Linked DNA regions of Saccharomyces cerevisiae S288C. Changing the gene in region 3 together with the main gene of any one other region gives a genetic interaction. Each region holds a gene or a part of one and is shown on either strand. Other genes may lie near its edges.

Region 1 (4,562 bases), on a different chromosome or scaffold from region 3:
CAAGCAATGTCTTTCTGATTCAAGTGATAGTGGTAGTGATGTAAGCTTTTTTTCCGTAAATGAAAGCGAAGGTGAATTGGATACAATGGAGAAAGTGGATACCTTGATTGGAGGTGCAAGAGTTATAAGCAATAAAGTAGAAAAAGACAGCGATAGTGAACAAAGGGGAAGAAAGAAGGAAACAACTGGGCCCAATAACTATCATAATTTAGAAGAGAAGCAAGCGAGTGCCATTTCTCTTGACGCTGATGATGAAGATCTCGATGAAATTATTTCTTATTCGCATGACGGGAACTATGACAGCTCTCATAAAACTTTCTCCTTTTCCTTACCATTTGGTAATACAAATTTCCGATCAAGTTCACCATTAGCCATAATTAAAACTGTGCTTCCCAAGACTCCAGATGAGTTCATCAAAAAGAATCTAAGAAAGAATGAGATCAAGCAAAAACTGAAAAAATCAACCTCCATTTCTTCCTTGGAAGAGATAGAATTATTTAAATACGAAAGGGGCATTGATAATTCAAGGTTAAGGGCTGTTAAAGAATCTTTGGAAATGGATGCCTTGAAGAACTCCATTAAGCAAATAACAGCAGACCCATTCGACAAAACTCATGACGGATATTACCGTTCGCGTTTAGAATCTATATGGAATGAATTGGAAGGAGATGTCGTTATAATGGGTGGATATCGAGGTAGTGTGCTAAGGGATGCTACTACTCATAAGCGAATTTGGATCCCATTAAAGGCAGGTTTGAATATGACGAAAGTCGATTTATTGATCGGACCTAATGACGAAGATGAACTTAAAACTCAGAAGGAGATTGTCCCTGATGGAATGCTAACACATATAGGGCCTGTTGATATCTCTAAGAGGTTGATAAAGAGGCTAGACGCAAATCCTAATTTAAATGTTCAGCAGTTTGGCTATGATTGGAGATTATCCTTGGACATATCTGCCAAGCATTTAACGACTAAACTAGAGGAAATTTACAATAAGCAAAAAAATAAGAAGGGAATATACATCATTGCCCATTCAATGGGCGGATTGGTCGCACATAAAGTGTTGCAAGACTGTACTCATTTGATAAGAGGTATTATTTACGTGGGTTCCCCAAGCCAATGTCCAAATATTTTAGGTCCTATTAGGTTTGGAGATGATGTGATGTGGAATAAAACTATTTTCACTAAAGAAACCAACTTTTTTATGAGAAGTAGTTTCTATTTTCTACCGTTAGATGGTAGATGTTTTGTTGACAAAATTACCTTAGAGAGGTATGATTTCGATTTTTTTGATACAGATGTTTGGAAAACCCTTGGCTTGTCACCTCTCGTCAATGAGAAAAGAGAGGAATCAGCTCACGAAAAATCAAAATTATTACCAAGGAAAACGAAATCAGCGCTTTCGCTTAAAGCTACCCTAAACGCAACTACCAAGTTTGTCCTAAATGCACCTGTTGTTAGGAATGTAGCCGGCAATAATAAACAGGTACCAAGGGATGTGCCTTTCGATGAAGTCTTCCATACATCTTATGAAGATAGCTGTGAATATTTAGCGAGAACTTTAAAACGTACAAAGAATTATTTGGATAGCTTAGATTACGACCCGAACAAAGAATATCCTCCATTGGCCATGGTTTACGGTAACAAGGTTCCCACTGTTAGAGGTGCTAAAGTGAACGGTATACAAGATATAAAAGATGGGAATTATGAAGATTTTTACTATGGTCCGGGCGACGGTGTTGTTCACCATAAATGGTTATTGCCTGAACAGAGAGGCTTTCCAGTTGTTTGTAAAATCGCCAGTTCTTCAGGTCATGTTAGCTTAATGACGGATTTGAAATCAATGGCAAAAGCATTCATATCTATCGTCGACAGCGAAAAAGAAGGAAGAAGATCTCGAACACGAACTTCTTCATGAAAGGCTTTTTATTCCTTTGTTTACTATTCATATCTGCATTTTTCTTTTTACCAAAATTCCGCATGTCAAAAAAAATCTGGCAACGCACCGCGAATAAAAATAAATAATATTTTTTTATCTTTAGTTGCCTAAATACTATTTATTTCGTCAATTTTACAACCTCTTTTATATACACCATTCGATTTCCCACGAAGTAAAATAATAATTCTATAAACAGATTTATCTGATATGCTCAATTTCCCCTCCCATTTTCATTATTGTCCTTCTTGCTCTTCCTCGATGTCAAAATTAACCTTCAGCCATAAGCTGCATGCGCTACATTGGGTTAATAATTGATAACCAGAATGACTCCGTTCCATAGCGTCTACATTATCAATGCATTCATCTAACAAACTCTCACTAAAATGAAAACCACCAACAAATTGACAGCGAGGACAATTCATCATAAACTCCAGCTTATCTTCATCAAATGAGAAATCGTCTAAGGAAAATTCATCCAGCCCATCACCACAATTATGAAATCCTTGGCGTTTATAGTTTTCAAGGATCAACCTATCATATTCGCGACGAGTTTTTATATTCGATAGTATTTTATAAGCATCTTGAATCTTATTGATTGTGACGTTGCTAACCGTATCATGTATGCTTTTAGAAAGTTTATCGGGGTGCGTATTTAGTAACCGATTCCTATATGCCTTTTTGATTTCATCTTGTGTTGCATCCGATGGAATTCTTAAAATTTCGTAGTGTGTTAACGAATTCACCAATGACATTTTCGCTAAATTTTCACACCAAAAGAAAGATTAAATTGGAGATAAATACAATACAAAGAGCGTGGTAAATTTCTTAGTTGATTGCGCTTATCTTTTGGCACCGATAGTGGTTTTTACAATGGTAAGACTAGTAACGTCACATCGAAGTCATCGCATCCATTTACAATTTTTCTGAAAATTTCCATCTCCAGTTACCCGCTCATAAATCTTCAAGAAAAGTCAATGATTTCCTTTTCTACCTCTAGCAGCTCCTTTAATCTTTGATTTAGATCGAAAGTCCTGAAAAAGCTACATGTAATATTAATACTTTGTGAAACGTAAACTAATTATATGTTCTATATACGTTATTCTACGGTTCGCATTTTCTTTTTATGGCGCGTCTGTGCATTCCCAATCGGTAGGCTCATAAGCATCAGGATGATCAAGAAATTTCATCTGTTCGTCTGACAGTTCAAAGTTGTAGGCTGCAAGGTTACCTTCTAACCTCTTCACAGTTTTAGTCTTCGGTAGTGGTAAATAACCGTGTTGTAAAGACCAACGAATCAAAACTTGACCTGGATTACGGTCCACCTCTTTGCAAACTTTTAATAAATCTGGATTAGTCATTTTGTAGCCGTGACACAATGGGGCAAAGGCTTCGACGACGAGACCTTTAGATTTACAGTAATCTGCTAATTCTTGTCTCATAATCCAAGGTGATATCTCGATTTGGTTGACCACTGGCTTGTGCTTCAGTTCTGGCCAGTTCAAAAGTTCATCAATGTGCTTTTTCCCATAGTTGGAAACCCCTATAGACTTAACCAATCCTTCATCAACCGCTTCTTGCATGGCGCGCCAAGTTTCCAACCTTAATTTAGAACCTTCCAGTGGCGAATGAATCAAAAGAAGATCGATGTATTGCAAGCCCGAGACTTCATTCAAACATTGCCGAATGGCAGCTTTAGCTCTTTTATATCCGTTTTGCGAATTCCATAATTTAGTAGTGTAGAAGATTTCCTCACGTTTATGGTTCCCTGGATCTTCGTTCAACCATTTAATGATACCATCGCCAACTTCCTTCTCATTACCATAAAGAACAGCAGTATCGAAATGACGGTAGCCGCACTTGACACCTTCATACACAATTTCGGCTGTTTGCGATCTTGGAATATCGTAGGTTCCCAAAGCAATGCTTGGGATTTTGAAGCCGTTTGAAAGTTTGTAAAACTTAGGAACCATGTTGTTGAGGTGAATTTTTTTTCTTCCTTCGGGCTAGGTATGCTAAGTTAATTACTAAAGTAAGATCAGTTGCTTATGCTCTTATATATTGGAGGTTGCGACAAGGGATGAAAGAAAGAGACACCTCCCCTCATATCGACACGACGGAATATGTATGATAACTACTTCATTGTTCTTTTCAGCACATTATTACTATTTACGAAAAAAGGGAGTAGGGAAAAATGGCGCGCTTATGGAGCCTCAAATAAGGACAAAAAAGTCAAGTAATGAATATCAAATTGAAATGAGTATGCTTACATAGATTTATTTGGTTTGTTTTCATTTTGTTTTTGTTTCTTATGTTGCTGCTTTATTTTGTGTAGGTAATAAGGAAGAATAGGGCGATTAATAATTGATCTTCTAGCCTATTTCTATTTTTTCTTTATTTCATTTTGTAGTCCCATTGTTCATCATCTACTTTAATGGCTTTGGCTTTGGTGTGTCATTCTTCTTGAATATACCCAAATTTTCTAAATGCTCCCTTACATATTCATAAACGGTAAAGGTGACAGCCTGACCTGGAGCCACCCTCATCACTCTTGGGGTAATACCCTTGTACAAAGCTCTAAAACCTTCTTCTTTCAGTAGTTGAGCACCAATGGTTATGATTT
Region 2 (6,238 bases), on a different chromosome or scaffold from region 3:
GTTTTCTTTGATATCATTCGCAATTTGTTCGCTTTTATCACTTTCAACCTCTTTTTTTAGCGATGCTAAATCGTCTAATTTCTTTTTTCTATCCAGGTATAGTCTATAATAGGCTTCTGCCTGTTCTACGATGAACCAAGAAGCTTCCACAAGGTGTAAGTCCTTAATACCATTAACAGAATCATCGTTTTTGGTGAAAAGGGACGCGACTTCCACCGCCTTGTCGATATTGTTAGCCCTTAAAAAGTACTTAACCGTTTTACAGTTGATAAATCTATCCTGCAAATCAAGTTGCCTACCTTCCTCCAAAATTCCAGCCGCTGTGTCCATTAGGCCTAAGTGCTTCAGGATACGTGCCTTGAGGATGTAAAACTCAACTAAAGTTGGGGTGTGGTCAAGGGCAGCATCAATATATTCTTGGGCTTTCGGAAAATCCTTAAGGAAAAGGAAATGTTGAGACAAGTAATAATTGGTCCAAATAAAAGGAATTGGATCCTGCGTAGGATCTAATCCGGACAAATAATCAAGGACAATTTTCTCCAATAGTGGTGAAACCTTGGACTTCCTTCTTTGGTAAAGGGGTTTCACGTTGGAAAAAGTTGCTGGAACACCGCGCTCCAATTGAGGCAAAACATATTCTCTCAATTTTTTGCTGAGCTCTTCTTTGTCTTGAAGGAAAGTTAATGGAATAAATTTGGGTGGTTCGCATCTTGGATAAAATTGTTCAAGTTTTCCATACAAAGCCTTCTTCAATTTATTGTCACCTTGGATTCCCAAGGATACTTCCAGTAATTTGTAGTACTTAAAATTATCTGGATTTCTCTTGATCAGAGTTCTATAAACAATGGACGCGTCTTTCAATTGACCCAATTTCATGTAAATAGTTGCTTTTCTCTCTAATAAACCAAATTTATCAAAGACGCATGGCTCGATATCATTCAAATGTTTCAATACATTTTGTAACTTGTCTTGGTTATCACTGGCAGCTTTATACATAATGTCGTTTTTGTACATTAAACACTCGCTGTGTTCATATTTCTCGGAATCAGATATTTTTCCCTCAGCGAGTTTTTCAAACTGAGATAAAGTGTTAATAGCTTGTTGCCTCTCACCGTTCACATCTTGTGCCACAGCCAATGATGTCCAGTTGGCACGGTAACCAAGGAATGCTTCCCAATATTTTTTCCTGGACACTAAAGCATTTTTGAAATCGCCAATTTGTGATTGCAAAGTTGCTAAGTCTCTATATATTTGCTTGTTAGTGGACCCATTGTTCAAAGCTGCCGTGAACCATTTAATAGATTCTTTGTACTCTTTGGTGTTTCTCATGTAGATACCTAATACATGACAGCAGATTGGTGATGCTGAAGCGCCTTCAATTTTTCTGATGGCATTAGCCACGTAGGAAGCAGCGTCATCTTTCTCACCTACAGAATATAAATCAAGACCCTTTAAAGCCAAGGAATCAACGTGACTACCGTCTTTTTTCAAAATTGCGTCTAGCAGCTTGAGAGATTTTTTGTATTGCTTCCCTTCGTATAGTTTCAATGCCTCGAGGAACTGGTCATTTTCTTTTTTCAAAGCTATTTTAGCTGCTGGCTTGGGCTTAGTACTTCTTTTCCTAGACATACTTCGTTAGGGTCAATCGCCTTCCTCAATGGTATTTGTCTTAAACAAGGAATCTGAACATCACTTTTTAAAAAGGTTTGACTTTTGAGTGTAGAAACTTTTTCATTTTCGCTCTTTCCTCTTTACTCTGTATTATGTTCTGTTTCGACGCGGAGCAGGGTAAAAAGTGCATACGCAACCCAGCGACCTCATTAGCAAGGTCATGCAATTTGGTGGCACATTTCAGGCCTATCATGTCTCCAGTTGTACAATAATGAAAATTTAGCAGTATTCCCCCTTTAAAAGATTAAATAGCGATTATATAATCAACTCAAAGAGTTTCCTTAGCAGTCCTCTCTCAATTTTGAATTGTCGAATGTCATGGCGTTCTCGAAGCACTTTGCATACTTCAAGGAGTGGACAGAAAGAGTCTGATAATAATAATTTTTTATTGAATCCGAAGATATTCTATAATCAAATTTAACTATTATTCTATGTAAAATCTATAATTGGTTTATATGGTATACGAACGAGAATGGCGTAGGGACATGAAAGATGGTAGAATGACTAAATGAAAGCTAGAGGAAGAGCGGCAGCGAGCCACACCAATTTTCCTACTGCTTCAATGTTTGCGCTGCCTTCCATGATTAATGAAATGCTGGCAGATGATGTAATGGCTCCTGTTGATACAGCAGCAATGGAATGCTTTGATGTGATAAATGCGTTAGTAGTGGTGGTCGTGAAGGAATTTGTATAATGAATGGCACTGGATTGACTAGAATAATCTTTAGTTGAGGTACCAGAAACACTTTCTAGAGAGGCAGCTGCAGAAATATTGTCCTCAATACTGTGATTCATTACGGAAGCAGTTGATTGAACGTTACTTATAGTAGACGTTGATGCAGGAGAAGTCATAAATGCAGATTGTTTGGTGATGGTAGTGTCTTTGGGACCCGAGTAATTTGGGTTCCCAACCTCAGACTGAATGTTAATGTTTGAAGTTACTAGTGTTGTATGGCGAGTCGAGTCAGTAACTCTACTGACAATATCGGTGACGCTTGCGTGAGCTGATGCATAAGTTCTATCTAATGTGATTGGATGAGCTGAGGAAGATGAGCCGACTAAACCATTTTCACTGGCTAGAGTCGTTGGGTCTGCTGAAGTTATGCTAGGATATGAAGATTTAGTTGATTGGAATGCGTCAACTACAGAAACAGAACTTTGGGTCTTCGAATCATTGCTGCTAACTGGCATATTAGGCTTGATTATACTTGTTGCGCTTGACCTACTCGAGGAAGCCGAATCAACTGGGGTTAAAGTTACAATCGAAGAACTTGAAGTGGCCGAAATTCCTTGCTGTCTAGAAAGGCTTAGACTTTCCGACGCAATTGGAATGCCCGTGGAAGTTGATCCGGTCGAAGCTGTTGGATATACTGGGCTATTCGAGACAGCGAAAGTGCTTGGGTCTACTTGAGATCTTTGAATGGATGAGACGCTCAAATCAGCTGAACCAGTTGAGGAAACCATATCAGTTAGACTAGATGATACTGTTTGGGTATCTTGGCTGGTTGAAGTGGTTGAAACCCTTAGAATGATTGTGTCAGAGAAAGTAGCTAGATCTGTTGAAGTAGTTGGACCACTTGGTCTGGTTGAATAAACTGAGGTTGAACTGACAATAAAACTGGTTGGTTCAGATGAAGTTGAACTAACTACAGAACTAGCTGGATCAATTGAGGCGCTACTGATGATAGTAGTTGCACCGCTTGAACTAACGATGGAGCTAACTGGATCAATTGAAGTAGTTTGAGCCGCTAAAGTAGCTGAACCGTTTGAATTAGCAGAAATAGTCACAGTGCTTGAGCTAGTTGGGTAAGATGAAGTTAAACTGACAACAGAACTAGCCGGATCAACTGGAGCGGAACTGACTACAGAACTAGTTGGATCAACTGAAGTAGTTTGAACGGTCGAGGTAGTTGAGTCAGCTGAAGTAGTTGGGTCTGCTGAAGTTGAACTGATAACAGAAGTGGTTGGGTCAACTGAAGTAGCAACGTCACTTGAGCTAGTTTGATCAACTGAGGTTGAAATGACTACAGAAGTAGTTGGGTCAACTAAAGTAGTCACAGCGCTTGAACTAGTTGGATCTGCTGAAGTAGCCACGTCACTTGAGCTAGTTGGATCTGTTGATGTGGTTACCTCGTCAGAGCTTCTTGTACGATACATACCAGCAACACTTGATGAGGCATGTGGACCAACTGTTGTAGTAGACTCAATTAAAGATGTAGAGTCCGTGGAAGTGGAAATCACGACAGAGATATTTAGACTTGTTGAAGTAGTAATATCGTTTGAACTGACGAGAGAAGTAGTTGGTTCAATTGAAGTGGTTTGAACGGTTGAAGTAATCACATCGCTCGAGCTAGTTGGGTCAATTGAAGTGGAACTAACTGCAAAAGTAGTGGAATTGGCCAAAGTGGAATTGCCGATGTTGTTACTTGGACCAGCTGAAGTGGTTTGAACGGTCGAGGTAGTTGAGTCAGCTGAAGTAGTTGGGTCTGCTGAAGTTGAACTGATAACAGAAGTAGTTGGGTCAACTGAAGTAGCAACGTCACTTGAGCTAGTTAGATCTGTTGATGTGGTTACCTCGTCAGAGCTTCTTGTACGATACATAGCCGCTAAACTTGATGAGGCGTGTGGATCATCCGATGTAGTATACTCAATTGAAGATGTAGAGTCTGTGGAAGTAGAAATGGTAACAGAGCTACTTGGATCAGCTGGGCTAGTTTGAACGGCCGAAGTAGTTGAATCAGCTGGAGTAGTTGGGTTAATTGAAGTAGTCACAGCATTTGAACTAGTTGGGTCTGCTGAACTTGAACTGATAACAGAGCTACTTAGATCAGCTGAACTTGAACTGACTACGGAAGTAGTTGGATCAGCTGAAGTAGTTTGAACGGTCGAGGTAGTTGGGTCAGCTGAAGTAGTTGGGTCAACTGAAGTAGTTGGATCAACTGAAGTAGAACTGACTATAGAACTAGTTGGGTCAACTGAAGTAGTTGGATCAACAGAAGTAGTTTGAACGGTCGAGGTAGTTGGATCAGCTGAAGTATTTGGGTCAACTGAAGTAGTTGGGTCAACTGAAGTAGTCACAGCGCTTGAACTAGTTGGGTCTTCTGAACTTGAACTTACTACTTAAGTGGTTGGATCAACAGAAGTAGTTTGAATGGTTGAACTGGTTACATCGCTTGAACTACTAGAGTCACTTGAAGTGAAACTGCTGAAAGGACTAGTTGAAGCTGCTAATGTGGTGACATCAGTAGATGTTCTTGAACGATAAATATCGGCTACGCTTGATGAAGTATGTGAGTCAACGGAAGTAGTAAAATCAATGGATGTAGTGGAAGAGCTTTTCACAGTAGATGACGTAGTAGTGGAAGTTTTCGTAGAGGATGAAGTAGTAGAGGATGAAGTAGTAGAGGATGAAGTAGTAGAGGATGAAGTAGTAGAGGATGAAGTAGTAGAGGATGAAGTAGTAGAGGATGAAGTAGTAGAGGATGAAGTAGTAGAGGATGAAGTAGTAGAGGATGAAGTAGTAGAGGATGAAGTAGTAGAGGATGAAGTAGTAGTGGATGAAGTAGTAGTGGATGAAGTAGTAGTGGATGAAGTAGTAATGGATGAAGTAGTAATGGATGAAGACGAGGCTTTTGTACAAGTGCCATCATTGTTTCCCTTGCACTGGTAGGTCCAATAAAATCCAGGGAAATCCGTTTGTGAGTGGCCTTGATTGTCATAATTGTTACAACCTGTCGATAAATCGAAGGTGGTTGTCCCCCATTGCCAAGTTTGCCAGTACTGAGCAGCATCACCTTGTAGATATTCGAACTGGATTTGGAAATTTGGCATCCAAACTGTGCAACCGTCAGAAGAAGGGTAAGCATAAACCTGAAAAGTGGATGTAAAATCTGTTGGATCACTGATTAGGTATGTCTTCTCATTTTTGCCGTAAAGTTGTACGGTGCTTGAGGGACCGTTGACACCAATAATCTTTAAAGACCATAAATATTTCAAAGGGATATCTTTTACGGCTTTGACATGAATAGTAATCTGGTATGTGTTATCCTTGACCCATGATACGGAAGTAACATCCATATCATAATGTAGTATATTCTGTTGGCTCATGTGCCAGTTGAAATCCAAATTTGGACAACCATTGATAGCAACGCTTTCGTCTCTTTTGCTTAGATCAAATGAAGGGCTCACCTTGTCATCAATTCTATCAGCAGTCGCTGAATTTGTGAGCAAGGCCGCAAATAGGAGGCAAAATGATATTAGTAGTTTTCTTATGAATGATGTGGATACCTATTTTACACTTTTGCAACAAGGGGAGGAAAATTGCCAAGACCATCATGACATTGGAGGAAGTGATTTGCTTCTCTTAAATATAAAATAATTAAACGATCATGGAGATGCAGCGAACTAATGTGAAAAATTTTTCTTTCCAGTAGTATCGGTTATTCTGTAAGCATAGAATCGGGTATTAGTGGCTTGTTCCGAGCTTTTTTTCTTTGCCAATAAGAAAACAAGTAAAATGCAACGTGCAAATGCTGATCTGATCTCGCCTGGGCCAGTTTTATCGTCA
Region 3 (9,293 bases):
TTCAATTTGATTCTGGACCCAAATCGAAAGGATATAGATACAGACGAAGGCATCCAGTATTGGAAGCTATTTTTCCAACCAGAGTACCCAGTGCGTATGGAACCAGATTTGCTTGAGGCATGGTTCCGTTTCCTTCGCGATGAGGGGAAAACCACTATAAGTAAAGACACCTGGCGTATGCTGCTCCTCTTTTTCAAACGATACCCCACTATTCAGAAAATAATAAGCGATTACGACGAAACTGCAGCCTGGCCATTTATTATCGATGAGTTCTATGAGTGCTTACAGGATCAGCAATAAACATCCTTTCATATACTTAAGGGTATGCTGTTTAATATTGCATGGAATACGTTACCCTTCTAAGATAGATGGGAATAAGGCGGAAATAAAAAACGCGATGAGCAGTGGAAAATTTTTCAGAAATTTTCAGTTCCCTCATAATATAGATGTAGATATTGTATAAGGTCGTACGTATATCAGAGTAGCCACTAGAAGGACCAGAGAAACTGGAATAAGAGCTATTATGGTCAAATCATACCAACGTTTTGAGCAAGCAGCTGCTTTTGGTGTAATAGCCTCCAATGCCAATTGTGTTTGGATACCTGCGTCATCCGGAAATAGTAATGGTAGTGGACCAGGACAATTGATTACGAGTGCTCTCGAGGACGTTAATATATGGGATATTAAGACCGGGGATTTGGTCAGTAAATTATCCGATGGCTTACCTCCAGGCGCATCTGATGCTAGAGGCGCCAAGCCAGCCGAGTGTACATATTTGGAGGCTCATAAAGATACGGATTTATTAGCTGTCGGTTACGCAGATGGTGTCATTAAAGTTTGGGATTTGATGTCTAAGACTGTGCTTTTGAATTTTAACGGTCACAAAGCAGCTATAACATTATTACAATTTGATGGGACTGGCACAAGATTAATTTCTGGTTCCAAGGACTCCAATATCATTGTATGGGATCTTGTTGGAGAAGTTGGTCTTTATAAACTTAGATCACACAAGGATTCCATTACTGGCTTTTGGTGTCAAGGAGAAGATTGGCTGATCAGCACCTCCAAAGATGGAATGATCAAGCTATGGGACCTAAAAACACATCAATGTATAGAGACACATATTGCGCATACTGGAGAGTGTTGGGGCCTTGCAGTGAAGGATGATTTACTGATCACAACTGGTACTGATAGTCAAGTAAAAATTTGGAAACTGGATATAGAAAATGACAAAATGGGGGGGAAACTAACAGAGATGGGTATTTTCGAAAAGCAAAGTAAGCAACGTGGGTTAAAGATTGAGTTCATAACAAATTCGTCTGACAAAACCTCTTTTTTTTACATCCAAAATGCTGATAAAACCATCGAGACTTTCAGAATTAGAAAAGAAGAAGAAATAGCAAGAGGTTTAAAGAAAAGAGAGAAGAGGCTAAAAGAAAAGGGGTTGACAGAAGAAGAAATTGCAAAATCTATTAAAGAATCCTACTCCTCCTTTATATTGCATCCTTTTCAAACCATAAGATCATTGTATAAAATAAAATCTGCATCATGGACAACGGTCTCAAGTTCCAAACTTGAGTTGGTATTAACTACATCGAGTAATACCATAGAGTATTATTCCATTCCATATGAAAAAAGAGACCCAACAAGCCCTGCTCCTCTCAAGACACATACTATTGAATTGCAAGGGCAAAGAACGGATGTGCGTAGTATTGACATCAGTGATGATAACAAATTACTTGCCACAGCATCCAATGGTTCATTGAAAATATGGAATATCAAAACACATAAATGTATCAGAACTTTCGAATGTGGGTATGCATTAACTTGTAAGTTTTTGCCAGGTGGGCTACTAGTCATACTGGGTACAAGAAACGGGGAGTTACAGCTCTTTGATCTAGCATCATCAAGTCTTTTGGATACCATTGAAGATGCACATGATGCGGCAATTTGGTCGCTAGATCTGACCTCAGATGGTAAACGATTAGTGACCGGATCTGCCGATAAAACTGTCAAGTTTTGGGATTTCAAAGTTGAAAATAGCCTAGTGCCAGGTACCAAGAACAAATTCCTGCCTGTTTTAAAACTGCACCATGATACAACTTTGGAATTAACTGACGACATTTTATGTGTACGGGTTTCTCCTGACGATAGATATCTAGCCATCTCGTTGCTGGATAATACTGTTAAGGTATTCTTTTTGGACTCAATGAAGTTTTACCTAAGTTTATATGGGCACAAATTACCTGTACTATCTATCGATATTTCATTTGATTCTAAGATGATTATTACGTCTTCCGCAGACAAAAATATCAAGATTTGGGGTTTAGATTTTGGTGACTGTCACAAGTCTTTATTTGCCCATCAGGATTCGATTATGAACGTTAAATTCTTACCACAGTCTCACAACTTCTTTAGTTGTTCTAAAGACGCAGTGGTGAAATATTGGGATGGCGAGAAATTTGAATGCATTCAAAAACTATACGCTCATCAGAGCGAAGTTTGGGCTTTGGCGGTTGCTACTGATGGCGGCTTTGTTGTTTCTTCATCCCATGATCACAGTATAAGAATCTGGGAAGAAACCGAGGACCAGGTATTTTTAGAAGAGGAAAAGGAGAAAGAACTTGAAGAACAGTACGAGGATACATTGCTAACTTCTTTGGAAGAAGGAAACGGTGATGATGCATTTAAAGCTGATGCATCGGGTGAAGGCGTTGAAGATGAAGCATCCGGTGTTCATAAACAGACTTTAGAATCGTTAAAGGCTGGTGAAAGACTTATGGAGGCGCTAGATTTAGGAATTGCTGAGATTGAAGGTTTAGAGGCATATAACAGAGATATGAAGCTATGGCAAAGAAAGAAGTTGGGTGAAGCGCCAATAAAACCACAGGGTAACGCTGTTCTAATTGCTGTGAATAAAACTCCTGAGCAATATATTATGGATACCCTGTTAAGAATAAGAATGTCTCAGTTAGAAGATGCACTGATGGTTATGCCATTCTCATATGTCCTCAAATTTTTAAAATTTATTGATACCGTTATGCAAAACAAAACTTTGCTGCACTCTCACTTACCATTAATTTGCAAGAATTTATTTTTCATTATCAAATTTAATCATAAAGAATTGGTTTCTCAGAAAAATGAAGAATTGAAATTGCAAATAAATAGAGTAAAGACTGAATTAAGAAGTGCATTAAAATCTACCGAGGATGATCTAGGCTTTAATGTTCAAGGGTTGAAATTCGTCAAGCAACAATGGAATCTAAGGCATAACTACGAATTCGTTGACGAATATGACCAACAGGAGAAAGAGAGTAATAGTGCAAGGAAGAGAGTTTTCGGGACCGTTATATAATAAAACTATTATCCTACATAATACCGGCATTACTCTGCCCTTTTCACACTTCAAAAGGATAGATTAAATTATCTGTATATTATACAATTCCAATCATAAAAATTGTCATTCCGATTGCCCTTCGGTAATAATGGGCATATCCAAATAACGGAATATGTGTTTTTTATACTTATTGGTCGCTGACATATGCTGTTTTTTGCGAGATGTCTCTCGTCTCTGCAGAGCAGTTGTAAAATTATAGGTCATGCATTTTTTTTTTTTTGATAATGAATAACTATCTAATCTAACAAAATATACGTGAGATACTATGCCCATTTCCCTAGAAGAGCCATTAAAGCAGCTCCACAACACATGATGAGATATGCACTAAGCATTTTTTTGAGGCCATCAGGTCCTTTGAATTGATTAGAGTATAAGAATTCATGAGCCATTAATTCGACTAGTCCAGTATAAATAAGAATTCCTGATGATATCGAGTCAAAAACACCATTAGCAATTAATGCTCTTCTAGAGCCAGGTATCCAAGAGTGTCTGACACCAATACCTACCGCGACTGCTATGGGTGACGTTAAAGTGAAGGCTAATCCCATTAACCAAGGCATGTACTTCTTACTTTCTGGCCAATTCGTTTCGGCAACTCTTGTGCCTAGACCCAAACCTTCGAACATTTGGTGGAAAGTTAAAACGATAAATAAGGTTTCGAATTCTTCACCCGCGACAGATAGCGAAAGACCCACAAATACAGAGTGAAAGATGATGCCAAATTCTAGAATAAAAACAGCTAGTATCTGATTGAGATACTGCTCTTTATCTTCCTCCTCGATACGTGTGGCCAACTGGGAGACATCTTGATGGTCATTTTCGTGAGAATAATGATCTTTTCCAGGTACAGAAGCGAGATTTGTCGCATGGGAACTGGTTGGAACTAGTTCATTAGCTAGTGACTCTGTTTTTCCCGGTTCCAGATCATAATTAGTAACATTTGAGCCGGGTTCTTTTTCCTTTATAGGAGTAGCGACAATCTCTTCATTTCTAGTAGTGTACGGAGTTTTGTCATTATGGATGGAGTAGGCAGCTTCGTTATTGAAAGATACAGGATCCGAGTCCATATTTCTGATGACAAATCCCGAACTGGGAGCATCAACATCAATACTGGTAACTTCCCCATGGTCCCCATGATCGTGTCCCAGCGTTTTCGCTACAAAATAATGCGTGATGATTTCAGTGAAGAAAAGTAAGAAAAGCGACATTAAACAGATCCCAAAAGCCCATGGATATTCGGCAAATGTGCCACCAAGACATTCATCTCCCAGAGCTTCGGCTGCGGGCTGTAGAAGATGAACGAACGCTGTGGCAACAATGACACCAGAACCGAAGAACTTCGCTATGAAAAAGCACCAATTTGGTAGCCTTATAAACGAATACCGTGATGACAAAATTGGGAAATAAACTCCCAATCCTGACGATATCAGTATAATGAATACTGCCAGAATTCTAAGACCTGCGTGCCCATTGTAGCCGTTAGAAGCTTGGCAAGTATCTACGGAGTCATCCCTCGCTATAAGATCAACCATACTTTCGAATATGCAGTGTCACTTGGAAACGCCTGCAATGTTTTCTTTGGTTGATGCACCGTTGTATTTTCGGAGATCAACTTTAGCTTTCTTCCGGTCTAACCAACAGGGTGTATGATTCAATAAACAGTATCATCATATATAGTGGGTTTTAGATCGTGTCTCCCAAAAGGTTGCGTCATTTAAAATCGTCACACTGTGTTTTACCAAAGGATGTGTGAAGCTGGTTTGTAGTAGTTAAAGGGCAATGTACCCTAAAGGTTGTGAAAAATTTTCATTTTCGAGAAGGAGTCGCATATAACCTTTAGGGTTATGTCCCTATAAACGATGACTATTGCCTTTTTTGGCCCTTAAGACTACAGTGTACGTAAATCGTAAAGAAATAAATGTATTATATTATTGTTACTATTATTTATTATGTTAATATCATGCATAGATAAATGTTCGTCAGAGAGCATCAGTTTCGTTTGAAAGGGTGCGGTTCGAGTTTTGCTCGTGCGCTGCTGTGGATGGGGGTGGATCCAGTAATCCATGTTTGCGCATATCATCTCGCAGCTGTTCCTCCATTTTCATTAGGACGCTCCCATCTTTATCCCGGGCGATAGTTTCTTTTACGGGACTTGTGTCATGCGGGCTGTCAAGCAGGCTTTTTTTGGGAGATGTAAGTTTCTTGTTGATCGAATGTTCTAATTTCTTACCGCCGGTGCAAATCATCCGACTTCTATGCACCATTAGAGCATCCTCCCTATTAAATCTCTTTCCGCATGGGCAGATGTATTTCTTGGCATTATGGGAGATTTTGTGTCTTATTAAATCATGATTGCGAACAAACGCCTTGGTGCAACCGGGAAAGTCGCATGAATACGGTCTATCTTGCAAATGTGTCTGAATATGCGACCTTATGTTGTATCTACGCTTGAATACTTTGTTACAGTTAGGGTATAAGCACTCGAATAGTTTGTCGGGTAGTTCCTTGACGTACTGGTCAATGGTACCCGGAGGCAGAGTAGTTGGTTTCTTGGTTATTTTCATTGGCGTAGTCCTAGGTATTATTTCATCTGGTAAAGGAGACGTACTATGCAAAGTGGGGCTTTTGTGAATATCATGTGTGACAGGTGGTACTTGCGGATAGCTTTCCACTTCACAGTGACTGTTATTTCGTATGGGTGTCTTAATTTCTAACTGATGATCTGTTAAATCCGGTGCATTTAGAAGCGGAGCTAGGTTACTTCCGTTCTTTGGTGGAGCTTTGACGGGAGTATGTTGAAATACATGTTTTTGTGGCAAAGAATTCTTAATTGGAGTGTTATTGCTGGAACCAGGAATAGGAGGTAGTACACTTGATGACGCTAAAGCGTTTGCATTTCTTAATGTTGGGTTCTGGGTATTTCGCATGTGGATGGGTTCAGTGTCATCCTGCAGTTGTGATATTGTCGAGACCGTGGAAACTACGGATTCCCTTTTCTTGTGGATAGGTGACAACTGTGTTCTAGGCGTGAACGTGCCAGCAGCATATCGATCATCCCTGCTTTTATCTGTGCCGACGAGGAAGGGCGATCTCAAACTATTTCCATTTATCCTTGGAGAGATACTTAGCCCACCCGGGGAAGTCTTTTCGAACAGACGGAATATGTTATCACCAGTACTATTTTTTTTATCATTATTGTTTTTATCACTGGTGTTATTATGGTCATTATAAGTCAAGCCGTCCAAGTTTAAATTATAATTTTGTGGAGAAAATGAAAGCAGTTCAGAATCTCTCAAATAACCACTGTTAGAGGAAAAAAGGTTCAATCCATTACTTTCTGGGCTTTTATTTGGATATCGTTGCCTATGGTATTTCCTGGATGGTGAACCATTTATTGAAGTATTTGACATCCGAGGCGATATTAACGTCGGAGGAGGAAATTGATATCCGCCATTTGCAGAGTTCGTTGTGACGATTATAGCATTATCTTTCATTCTACCGTTTTGCATGGCAGGTGTCTTTAGTATTACTGGAGATCCAGGTTTGGAATTAGAATTTGTAGCCCCAGAAACCAACTTCTGCGCCACCTCTTCTTGCTCTTCTAATACTTTACGCAACTTTTCTTGCTGTATTTGATTGTCTCTCAACTGCTTCTCCAATTTTTCGTTCACTTCCTTTTGTTTTTCAAGAGCAATTCTTAACTCCTCCTGCTGTTTCAACAAAACTTGGCTCAAATAGCTATTTTCACCATCATTTTCCCTTATATGGTCAAAGTCATCATTGTTATTTTTTACCGTATTATGATTACCCAATTCATTTATGAGTTCCATGGGTTGCGGATCTTTAGACATATTTAGAATGGATTGCTGTAAACTGGAAATACTCAATGTCTTATTATGGCCGAGAAATCCAAATATCGCTGTGCCACTTAGACCTCTCTTGTGTGAGGACATTGATTTTTTGCTATAGTGGGAGACTTTGTTGTTTTCATCACCAAGGTTCCAAGTTCTATCAATATTCTTTTTATCAGAAGAACCATCGCCCGTCTTAGGAGAAGGCACTAAAGGAATATCCAGATCTCTTAACTCTTGAGTCAACAGGTCATCGATGTTATAGTAGTCCATACCTAACAAGTTATCGAGGCCATCATCGTTTTCATTATTCAAAATATAATTGTCGGGTGGGGGTATGGTAGGATTGACATTATCATGATGTTGAACATACTCCTCATCTTGAGTGTCTTTCGCGAAGCCTGAGGGATTTATATACCACGGATCTACAACGTTATCCATGATTGTATTAACACCGTTTTTGGTCCTATAGATTTCTTTAGTTATTTCTTGAATTTATGCCTTGTATTTTTTTCTTCTAGCACTTTAACTGTTGCTTGAGTCTCCCTGCAACGTAGCTTTTGTTTGCTAGGTACAATGCCGAGAGAGGTTGTTATAAGTTTATGTGTACTATAAAACCCTTAATGAAAGAAAAGGGACAGAAATATTGCGAGTAAACAAACAGTACTCCCTCCTTAATATTTGCCCGTTAATGGCTAAATGCTTTCTGGAGTTGATTTACTAGCTACAAGCATCCTTATCCTTTACCTGTAAACCAAAAGTGTCCTGAAATTTTCCCAAAGTGCCAATGTTTACATTTTGCCGTTTTGAGATATATATCGTATATTATGACAACCTTCACCTATCTGACGAGCCGCTCTCAGTGCCCCGGTATTTTTGGGCGGCTATTCCTATAACACTATTAGTTAAAAGGGATTCTAATGGAGTGACGGTTTTCATCACAATAGATAGAGTTAACTAAGAACTCTAGTTTGTATGCAAAGTCATTATTGAGTAGTAAAAGCGCCCCCATCGTCTCGTTTAATTGTTGATAACGTTTTAATGTGGCTTTTGAAGGGTTGCTAGCGATGGCAATTGAAACATGTAAATTTTGCCTACTTACAATTAAATCCTGATAGTTTGAAATGCCTGATTTCTGAAGTGCCTCAGCTATTATCGTTTTGAAAGGAGAAATTTGTGCCTTATTGGGACATTCTGAGACAGGGAGACCGAGGTACAAGGTGTTGGCTCGTTCTGATATATATAACTTCGGATATGAGCAGATTTGAAGTTTAAAAGGGGTTATTTCATTATTTCGTAAACCATTACGCATTTCTTGAATGAAAACATGTCTTTGTTCTTCAGTTTCAAACAACAACGATCGAGTTAAGGAAACGTGTAAAGGTTTGGGGGCTCCCAAGTGTGAGATGAACAACGGGTCAAAATCCACCAGTTGATACGGATTAGTGTATTCCTGTTTCATAAATGTTTCTTTATATTTACATATGATTTTCTGAAGTTGTCGGTGAATCGCTGGAGTCGGACGCCACTCAAAATATGTGAACGAACGCCAAAATCGACTCATATTCATATCCTGGTGCTCGTACTTTTGTAAATTCGGAGGGATGTGGTACTTCAATATAATTGAATCCGGTATTGCAGGTAAATCAGTGGAATCGGCTTTCTGTATGCAAGTTTTCTCCGTGTATTCGATTTGGACCTCACTTTTGTTACTACTTTCGCTCTCGGTATCACTACCGTCACTGCTAGAATAGTCTGCAGATATGAATTCCATAGGCCAGTCTTCTTCTAAGCGATTGGTAACCTCCTTCACTTTAGAACACCACCAACAGATCGTTCTCTTGTTCTTTGTTCTTTATGGTATAATATTCACATGGTGCTCTACCGTTTTTCTTGTCGGCCCAGCCGGTTAAATCTCGAAGAGACAGAATAGAAGCTCTGTGGCTGTAAGTAAGGATAAGCCAAATGGAAAAGTTATAGAATTAGGACAACAATATACAGTTTTTTTTTGTACTCTTATAGAATACACACACATAGATACGCAC

What was found.
Region 1: mutations in ACE2 (region 3) and JJJ3 together harm fitness more than expected from each alone (negative genetic interaction), as found in Saccharomyces cerevisiae (2 studies listed by BioGRID).
Region 2: mutations in ACE2 (region 3) and PRM7 together harm fitness more than expected from each alone (negative genetic interaction), as found in Saccharomyces cerevisiae (2 studies listed by BioGRID).

Annotation. Positions count from the first base shown.
Region 1 is NC_001142.9:610,545-615,106, reverse strand, and holds JJJ3 (Jjj3p), read right to left. Parts: upstream 2,695-4,562; coding exon 2,176-2,694; downstream 1-2,175. Other genes in the region: YJR098C (uncharacterized protein), read left to right, coding at 1-1,921; YJR096W (aldo-keto reductase superfamily protein), read right to left, coding at 3,064-3,912; SFC1 (Sfc1p), read right to left, coding at 4,366-4,562.
Region 2 is NC_001136.10:379,810-386,047, forward strand, and holds PRM7 (pheromone-regulated protein PRM7), read right to left. Parts: upstream 4,273-6,238; coding exon 2,176-4,272; downstream 1-2,175. Other genes in the region: peptide alpha-N-acetyltransferase complex A subunit NAT1, read right to left, coding at 1-1,629; BSC1 (Bsc1p), read right to left, coding at 4,792-5,778.
Region 3 is NC_001144.5:399,134-408,426, forward strand, and holds ACE2 (DNA-binding transcription factor ACE2), read right to left. Parts: upstream 7,690-9,293; coding exon 5,377-7,689; downstream 1-5,376. Other genes in the region: NEDD8 ligase DCN1, read left to right, coding at 1-300; snoRNA-binding rRNA-processing protein DIP2, read left to right, coding at 524-3,355; low-affinity Zn(2+) transporter ZRT2, read right to left, coding at 3,661-4,929; USB1 (phosphoric diester hydrolase), read right to left, coding at 8,150-9,022. UniProt on the Saccharomyces cerevisiae protein: Plays a role in regulating basal-level expression of CUP1. Activates EGT2 transcription in the absence of SWI5.